2 linked regions of the Oryzias latipes genome follow. The protein of the gene in region 1 binds, or shares a complex with, the protein of each later gene. Links are inferred from orthologs where the notes say so. Each region holds a gene or a part of one and is shown on either strand. Other genes may lie near its edges. The genes, in order: apaf1 and casp9.

Region 1 (3,817 bases):
AAGTCTTACAATTAACAGCCTACACGAACACCCGTTTGATCGATCAGCAGTGAAACAAACAAAAAAAATTTGCAAAAAGAACAGTGAAATATGTTCTGCAATATTGGCATGTTGTGCAATTCATCCTCATAAATAATATAGTTAACAGAACGAAATAATTTACAAAACTGATTAGCCACGTTTATAAAGTGTCCGTCTGGCGGAGCAGATATAGGTGCAATCAGACAGACAGATGGATAGATAGAGAGAGATGCATTAATTGTCCACTGGGGAAAGTTGTTTTCATAGTAAGACATTTCTTCATAAGCTACGGAATTATGGTATTCATGCATATGCCTTTAGTTTGTTTTATTTTTGATAAAACAATGTATGGCGTATGTCTCAACCATTCAGAAAGCAACAAGAAATTACATTTGCGCTGATCAGTTTCCCTTTTCCACGTCGATTATTACCGACATCTGTAGCTTGTCAGATGCAATTAAATGGATGGAAATGAAATGCCCCATCACAATGCGTAATGATGCACAATGGCTGATCTTGCGCTTTTAGAAGATGTGGCAAATGGAAGAATTCGGAGTGAACGCATCTTTAGACAGCAAGAAGACTTGCTGGCAAACGAGGACGAGTGGCTTATGAGCCATTTCCGACTTCCTCTGCGGGCTTTTGGGGGTGTGTCACCCGGTGCATCCGGCGCGTCGTGTCCCCCTGCGCGTCAGTCACCACTCCACTTAAGGGATTCCCCGATTATTGCCGCCAGTCGCTCATCAAGAGGGGTCAGCTCCGGTGTACCACCCCCTGTGGCGATGCAGCGCCAGACGTTTTTTGCTTCGACTTTGATGTCCGACCACGGTCCGAGGCTAAAGGCATTTATGGCGTCTGCCTCCGTTTGCCACTCACTTGCCTTTTTGGCATTAGTAATGCCCACACTGTGCCCTCCAAACAACATTTTTCTCCTCTTTTCCACCTCGCCAGCGATAACTTCTACTTCACATTGAGTGAAGTTACGTTTTTTTGATTTCTTCTCGGTGTTTGCCATGGTTTTGCAATCAATGAATATTCATTTGTGGGCGTTTCACAGACTATTTATGGGCAACAATGGGCGTGTCATGAAGCCGCAAAAGCTGCTCTGCATTTAGAATCGGTTTTGATTTATTAAGGGAAAGATTCGTAGGATGTGTCTTATAAATCCGAATATTTCTGTGCGTACGTACGTCCTATGTTTCATCCGTACGCCACTTCTGACGCAAAGTCTAAATGCAGGGGGGAAAAAAGCAACAACAAAAAACTGGAATTGGAACTGGAACCTTTTTTTTGTTCTTTTTTAAAGTGAAAATCTTTAAGATTTTCTGAATATTTTGAATAAATCCTCGTCCAGTTATTTTTTTTGTTTGTAAACCGATTTTTTTATACTTTTATTTATTTTATTTTTTTAAAGGACTCTGCTGATTCTTGACGACGTCTGGGACAGCACGGTGCTGAAGGCCGTTGATATCCACTGTCGGATTCTTCTGACCACCAGAAACCGGTCCCTTGCTGATGTTGTTAATGGTAAATAAAAAAGTCGTTTCTGTCTTCTGTGAGGAACACAGTCTTACCAAACAAGTCCCATAAACTTATGCTTTTACTTTGAAAGGTAGTAAACACGAGGTGGAGGTGAACTCTGGCTTGGATGAGGACAAAGCGCTGGAGATTCTTTCTCAGCTGTCCAAAATTGAGATGTATAGGCTTCCTGAGGAAGCTCTAAGCATCGTCAAAAAATGCCAAGGTTAGTTTTTTGTGCATTTTGTGTTAATTTTATTGGGCAATTGTGGGCGTGGCTACAGACTTGTTTATTGAATCTAGAATCTATTTTTTTGTTTTTAACTAACAAATGTTTCTCCCACATTTTCTGCTTCTTTTTGGGCTCCGTTAGGCTCTCCTCTGGCGGTGTCCATGATCGGCTCTCTGCTCAGGGAGAATCCTGACCGTTGGGGTTATTACCTCAGACAGCTAGAGAAAAAACAGTTCCGGCGTATCAGGAAGTCAAGTTCCTATAACTACGAGGCTTTGGATCAGGCTATTGCTGCAGGCATTGAAGACTTGTCTGATGACTACAGAGATCTCTACAACCTCCTGACTGTTCTACACAAGGACGTCAAAGTCACTGCCAAGGTCATTCATGATTATCATAACTGGCAACAACTTTGATTTGACCCACTCCAATAAGAGTAGTGTTTTTGGTATTTTTAACATGTAGCAATTTTCTGATGATGGATGACATATATTAAGAAAATTAAGCTGAAAATTGCATTTCTGAGTATTTCTTTATTCAAATCGTTGTGAATCAGGAGCAGACGTAAAAATACAGTTTGAAACAGAGTATAATTGTAACGTAGAAAATCGTCTGAGCTGCATCTGGCTCACAGCTGTACGGCTGGATAGCTCCAATATTGCTCGCCATTTTCATTTCACTTGTAATGTTAGGTTGGGGGGTGTGAGGGGCTGTAAGTCCCACCAGCAACTCTGAGGCAAATATCTAATGAACTTTTGTCGCTCTGCAGAAAATATGTCCTTGAAAACAACACAATTTTCGATTTTGTCTAAAAACTGTATAATCGTAATTAAAAGCCCACTGGAAACGCTTTTACGTTAAATCAAAAGATGATTAGAGTGGGTTATTAGTCTAAAACCAGATTTACTTGAACAATATGAAGCTAAATCTCCAAAATATTTTATGTACTTTTCCAGATGATGTCTGTTTTATGGGGTCAGGATCAAGTGGACACTGAGGACACCCTCTCAGAATTTGTCAACAGAGCCATGCTTTTTGTGGACTCTCAGTCCCAACCCAACGTTTTCTACCTCCATGACCTTCAGCTGGATTTTTTATTGGAGCAGAATAAAAACCAGTTAAAGGTGTGAACCTCTAACTCCTTCTACTCCGTAGGAAAGCCAGTAACTGATGCTGAAAAAAAAACAAATGTGTGTTTTATAGAGAACTGATTAATGTAATTTATGCACATATATGTGTGTGTGAAAAAGTTCATTTTTAAATTCAGTACAAACTTTTGTAGATATGTTATGGATTTTGTTTATACCAGATTATTTAATTTCTCAAATAAACCAATCTATAGTCTATTTTGATCTAAGATGCTTATAAAATTATCATCTTGGTTATTTCATCAACCGTTTTTAAAACAATTCTTCGTTCTAATGTGTTTGCATGAATGCTCATGTCTCAGAGCCTTCACAAAAAGATGGTGGAACGTTACCAGCACCGCTACAAAGACAGGCCTCTGACCTCAAGAGATGAGGAGTCTCTTTACTGGATCCGATACTTGGCTTACCATATGGCCAATGCTAACCTTTTCCAGGTAAAAAGCACATTCTGTTCTCTCTGTACATTTATATTCAGACTTTGGATCCGCATGACGCCTTTTTCTTTCATTGCATTAAGGAGCTGCACTCCCTCTTGTTCTCCCTGGACTGGATCAGCGTGAAGGGGCAGATAATGGGTCCGGCCCACCTGATTAATGACTATCTGGAGTATGGATCCATTCTGGACAAAGAGGTCAGCCGACTTGAAAAAGAAACCTTTACTGCATCAATGTTACTGAGTTGACATCAGGAATAAAGCAGAGTTTTAGGCTTAATTGCAGCTGTGGGTTCTACTTTCTTCTCATCTTGCTGAAACATGTTTTTGTGATGTGACCTTTGTGCCGCCAGAACAATGAAATGTGCAGTGAGTTCCAGGAGTTTCTGTCCCTGAGTGGCCACTACCTGGAGCAGCGTCCTTTCCCCGACATCGTCCAGCTCGCTCTCTCTCAGCCCCACACCT
Region 2 (4,585 bases), on another chromosome or scaffold:
TAAGGTGTTTTTCACAATGTCAAAAAATTCATTTTTCCTGGGTAATAGGCAAGTTTTGGTGAGTTTTTAAGAATGTGGTGGGGGCAACATTTTTGTTCAAAGGTGCAGTAACAAAGAAAAATTACTTTTATAATTCTGGGACAGAATATTAAACCCGCAAATCATCTAAAGCTCTATGCTGTTCTGTAAGTCTTTAGATCTGTGTAAAACATGTTTGTCCCTCCCCACATACACGTATGTACCTGCTCCACCAGCCTCTGAGGAAGAAGGTCTTCTACAAACTGCTTCAAGTGTTCCTTTGCGACAGCATAATGGAAAAATGTCACTTTGCCATTGAGGACTCCAAGTATGGATGGGGTGCGGTGAGCACCGAGGTGATTGGCTAACCGTCTTTCATAGCCTACATCCACCACGCCGATCCCAACACCTGCAAAGACAAGGCATCCACGGATGATCTAAACCCATATGAGTTCATGCATGACAGGAGACCTCATCTCTAACCTAGACTCTCCATCTCCTGCACCACCTCTTTCCACACAGGCTCGATGTGGATGCAGGTGAAGCACCAATCGGAGGTGATCTTTATCAGGTAGGGCCTCTTGTAGCTGTCAGGAACCACGTCGTTGATGTAGTGGTTGAAGTGAAGGGTGTACTTGTTGTCGCCAAAGTCTCTTTGGTTCTTGTTGTTGAACGGGAAGTTAAAGAAGGACTCATCAAAGTAGAAGTTGTCATGGCGATGGCCATAATGACCGCTGCCATACGGTTGGGTGTCATCAGTCTGCCCATAACGGTCATAGTTGGCCCGTTTATCTTCACTGGACAGGATCTGGATTGGAGATGATGCACACATTTCAGGCATGACTGCTACAAATGGTCAAACCCACCTGAACCAGAACTAACCTCATAGGATTTGGTGATCTTGATGAACATATCCTCAGCGCCTGGATCTTTATTTTTGTCAGGATGCCTGAAGAAACAGAGGCTCATTTGAACTGAACATGTCAAACTGGTTAGTTGTCCCATCAAAAATATATTTACCATTCTCTTGCAAGTCGCTTGTAGACCTTTTTGATCTCAGCTGAGTTTGCACTCCTGGTCACACCTAATATTTTGTAGGGGTCCATCTCAGATGCAGCGCGAGCTGGTGGCGTCAGCAGCACCGCCAGGACCACGGCCACAGCCAGGGTCATCTTTGACCCCCCCATCGGTCCCCCTCACGACAGCGGATCAGTTCGCACCAGAAAACGCCTCTACATCGTGACACGGATTTTGGATTGCCTCCACATCTGCACAGCTGTTCCACTCAAATGATGCCAGAGCGGAAGCATCCATAATAACATGCTAACCACAAAAACACTGGCAATGCCGCCTGTGGCTATGTTGCCTTTCCTCCAGAATAAAACGCATTTTAAGGACTGCGTCTGCTCCAGTTGTTTATGTTCTCCAAAAACAAAGGTAGTCCGCCGGTTCTACGCCACATTAGGGTGGTTTTGGTCCTCTCAAGCTCCACGATGCTGGCTATCCAGAGATACACACACGGGGTATGTTCGGCCACAAATCACCAATATTCCGGGGCAAACCGCTCTAGGAAAAAAAGAGCATAGAGCTAAAAATAGTAAATGCAATAGCGTTCTGTGACATCTTAAACACCTCTGTGTTACAACTTGACGTTTTATCGAGCCGGGAATAGATTGGATTTGTGCACCGCTCTCCCCCTACAGTCACAGAGACACACCGGTACTGAAATCAAACGTACCCATGAGCTAGCCTATCACAGGCGGTGATGATGTAAACAAGGAAGTGGCTGATGGAACTTCGGGGGAAAACCAACCATAGGCATAAATATATCGAAAACAAGCTAGATGCGAAGAAGCTTTCTTTTTAACGAATTTATATCCTTAAAAACGCGCCTCTGGGTTGAATATTAAAACATTTTCGGAATTTGTTTTTGATTCTGTATTGGTAGTAAGGCGTTCGTGTGGAAGGAAATGGAAGAAAAACACAAAAGGATCCTTCGCCGAAACCGAGTTCATCTGGTAAAGGAGTTGGACCTGTCGGACCTCTGTGATGTTCTCCTTAGAAAAGACGTGTTCACCCAAAGCATGATAAACGACATAAAGGTAGGTTTCTACCACTAATGTTAGTGTCTCTTGTTTAGTGTTGTTGTTGTTGAAAAAACAAACAATTTAAAAAAATGTGTCCTGGCCGACAGAACTGTGAGACCAAACGGGACCAGGCCCGAAAATTGGTTAAGGACTTAGAGACCCGCGGGAATGAGGCGTTTTCGGCTTTTCTGGAGGGCCTTCGGGTCACGGGTCAGCAGAATCTGCTGGAGCTACTCCAGAAATCAGCTCCAAGAGTCCATTTCCAGCCTGGGAAATCCACGGAGGCGGGATACCTTCTAATCCAGCCTCATCCAGTTTGTAAGTCTGCTCTGCCAAAGTCCAGTTTGATCACTTATTTGATAGAAATAATATTTATTTGTCTTTTGTACTGTAGACATTGAAGATGCTGTTCCAAAGAAGCCCAGGACCCAACCTAGTCCACGTAAGAGAGAGAGGAGGGGTGGGGGTGTTAAAGTCCCCCATAACATTTTCATGTATTTTATTTATTTTCATAAAAACGTTCCCAGTAGTGTTCCCACAATCCCACAACCTAAATATCTTTAAACGCCATATTTCATGTTCATTCTAAACCTCTGTCTCCAAAATCTCCTCTTCATGGGCGTGGCTAGTGGTGCTGAGCGGTAGCCCCGCCCTTGATCCCGCCTTTTTGATGATGATAACTGTGTCCTGCAAGAGGGACAAGCTTGACACACTTGGGATCAATGATACTGATTGACAGTCTCTCTTCTCACAAGTTTCTCTTTAGCGATAAAGTGAAAAGTGACATTTTTGATTCCAAATCGCGCTTTCGGAACAATGACAACACGAACGTGTGTACCAGTTTAATAAAATAATAATAAAAAATGTATCATTATTATTTGCTCTGCTACACGGATCCAGAGGAAGGCTTAAGTTTAGGATTACAAGTTACGGCTAAGCTGCGTTCACACCGAACATGATTCACGCCGTACAAGCAGCAATGTGCCATCTCCTCTTCTGCCGCACCTGAGCTTGTGCACGCTGGACGGGGCAGATCAGGGAGCTTACGCAATGCCTATGCGCTCCTTGGCTATTATGACATCACAACGGCTCATTATTCAAACCGAGCGTCTCTCCGACAGTTTGATTGACAACGACTTAAAAGGAGAAATACTCAGAAATGCTAAAATGAAATGATTTAAATACATTTGCTCTGTTTCATAAGAAAAAAACACATGTACATTTAAAAACTCAAAAAACGTGATTTTCATCGGAGGGGGACTTTAAGTTCTATGTGGAACCATGTTGGATCCTTTTGTTTGTTTGTTTACCAGATTTTATACAATTTCATACAATTGAATTTCCCCAATGTGGGATCAATAAAGAATATCTTATCTTATCTTATCTTTTGTTGTTACAGCACCTGACGAGGTGTTCAAGGGGCCAGAGGTCCGACCACGACGGGACAGCATCCAGGTGAGCAGCCTTCATCATCCACATGCAGCTGTGTTTCCAGCATAATTGATCTAAATAACATATGGTGTGCTTGTGTGTCAGTACTATAAGATGGATGCCAGGCCATGCGGTCTTTGTCTTATCATAAACAACGTGGAATTTGAGCCAAAAACTGAGCTCAGCATTCGCAAAGGATCCAACGTGGACTGTGACAAGCTAGAGAAACGATTCAAGTCGCTTAACTTCGTGGTGGAAGTCCGGACAAATCTGAAACAAAGGGTGAGAGTCCTTTCTGCTTCTTCTGGGTCTGAAACGTTCTGAAAGGTAAAGATGCTCACTTGTGTCTTTCTTTCAGCAAATCAAATCTGAGCTGTCAGCTTTGTCCAGGAAGGATCATTCCATTTACGACTGCTGTGTGGTCGTCATACTCTCACATGGGACAGAGGTGAGGCGTCTCCTGTTTTTACTTTGTGTTTTTGGCGTTTTTAACATGTCGTCGTGGCATTTTTCTCATCACGGAGGACATATAGAAATAAAATTAAGCTTAGAATTGCATTACTGAGTAGTTCTTTATTCAGCTTGGTATGAATCAGTAGCAGAGGAAAAAGAAATGCTGTAGGAAAAAGCTGGCAGCAGGGATGTAGGTGCTACAATCGGTAGTCCAAAAGTTCCTGCTCCACTCCATTGCCATGCCTTCAAGACTTTGACATGGAACATGCTCACACGTTGCTTGATTACTTTTTGCTATATGCAGGTCCGCCACAACAAGATCAGATCAGCTGGGAGCTGGATAGAAATAGACCAGGTACGATAGAAAGGGAACAATTTATTATGTAGACAATTTGCCAAATGAGTGGCATTCAAGTTGATGTCCGAGGTTCTGTCAAGCACAAGGATTCCTTTGTCCTTTTCAAATAAGCAGAGGCCAAAAGGCAAATCAATGAAAGTGCAAAAAAAAAAAAACAAGACACATGCTTAAACAAACCCTGGAGACTGAAAGAAATTCTTCTCCAAATGATTGGGAAAGGAAGTTCCTTCTTTAGCAG

The links.
Region 2: the proteins of apaf1 (region 1) and casp9 are in contact, whole or in part, in a crystal structure (PDB 4RHW), measured with the Homo sapiens proteins. The link is inferred for Oryzias latipes from reciprocal best matches to the Homo sapiens genes APAF1 and CASP9. Residues at the interface, in NP_863651.1 of Homo sapiens: Thr22, Ser23, Tyr24, Met26, Asp27, Ile30, Ser31, Ile37, Glu40, Glu41, Arg44; in NP_001220.2 of Homo sapiens: Asp23, Trp26, Asp27, Leu30, Arg36, Pro37, His38, Glu41, Gln44, Arg45.

What each region holds. Positions count from the first base shown.
Region 1 is NC_019881.2:17,123,881-17,127,697, forward strand, and holds part of apaf1 (apoptotic protease-activating factor 1), read left to right. Parts: intron 1-1,435; coding exon 1,436-1,548; intron 1,549-1,633; coding exon 1,634-1,765; intron 1,766-1,912; coding exon 1,913-2,151; intron 2,152-2,727; coding exon 2,728-2,895; intron 2,896-3,221; coding exon 3,222-3,353; intron 3,354-3,436; coding exon 3,437-3,550; intron 3,551-3,705; coding exon 3,706-3,817. UniProt on the Homo sapiens protein: Oligomeric Apaf-1 mediates the cytochrome c-dependent autocatalytic activation of pro-caspase-9 (Apaf-3), leading to the activation of caspase-3 and apoptosis. This activation requires ATP. Isoform 6 is less effective in inducing apoptosis.
Region 2 is NC_019865.2:5,965,199-5,969,783, reverse strand, and holds the start of casp9 (caspase-9), read left to right. Parts: upstream 1-1,765; 5' UTR 1,766-1,988; coding exon 1,989-2,120; intron 2,121-2,212; coding exon 2,213-2,423; intron 2,424-2,499; coding exon 2,500-2,547; intron 2,548-3,504; coding exon 3,505-3,560; intron 3,561-3,641; coding exon 3,642-3,818; intron 3,819-3,894; coding exon 3,895-3,984; intron 3,985-4,293; coding exon 4,294-4,344; intron 4,345-4,585. Other genes in the region: dnajc16 (dnaJ homolog subfamily C member 16), read right to left, coding at 243-427, 502-826, 901-967, 1,039-1,205. UniProt on the Homo sapiens protein: Involved in the activation cascade of caspases responsible for apoptosis execution. Binding of caspase-9 to Apaf-1 leads to activation of the protease which then cleaves and activates effector caspases caspase-3 (CASP3) or caspase-7 (CASP7).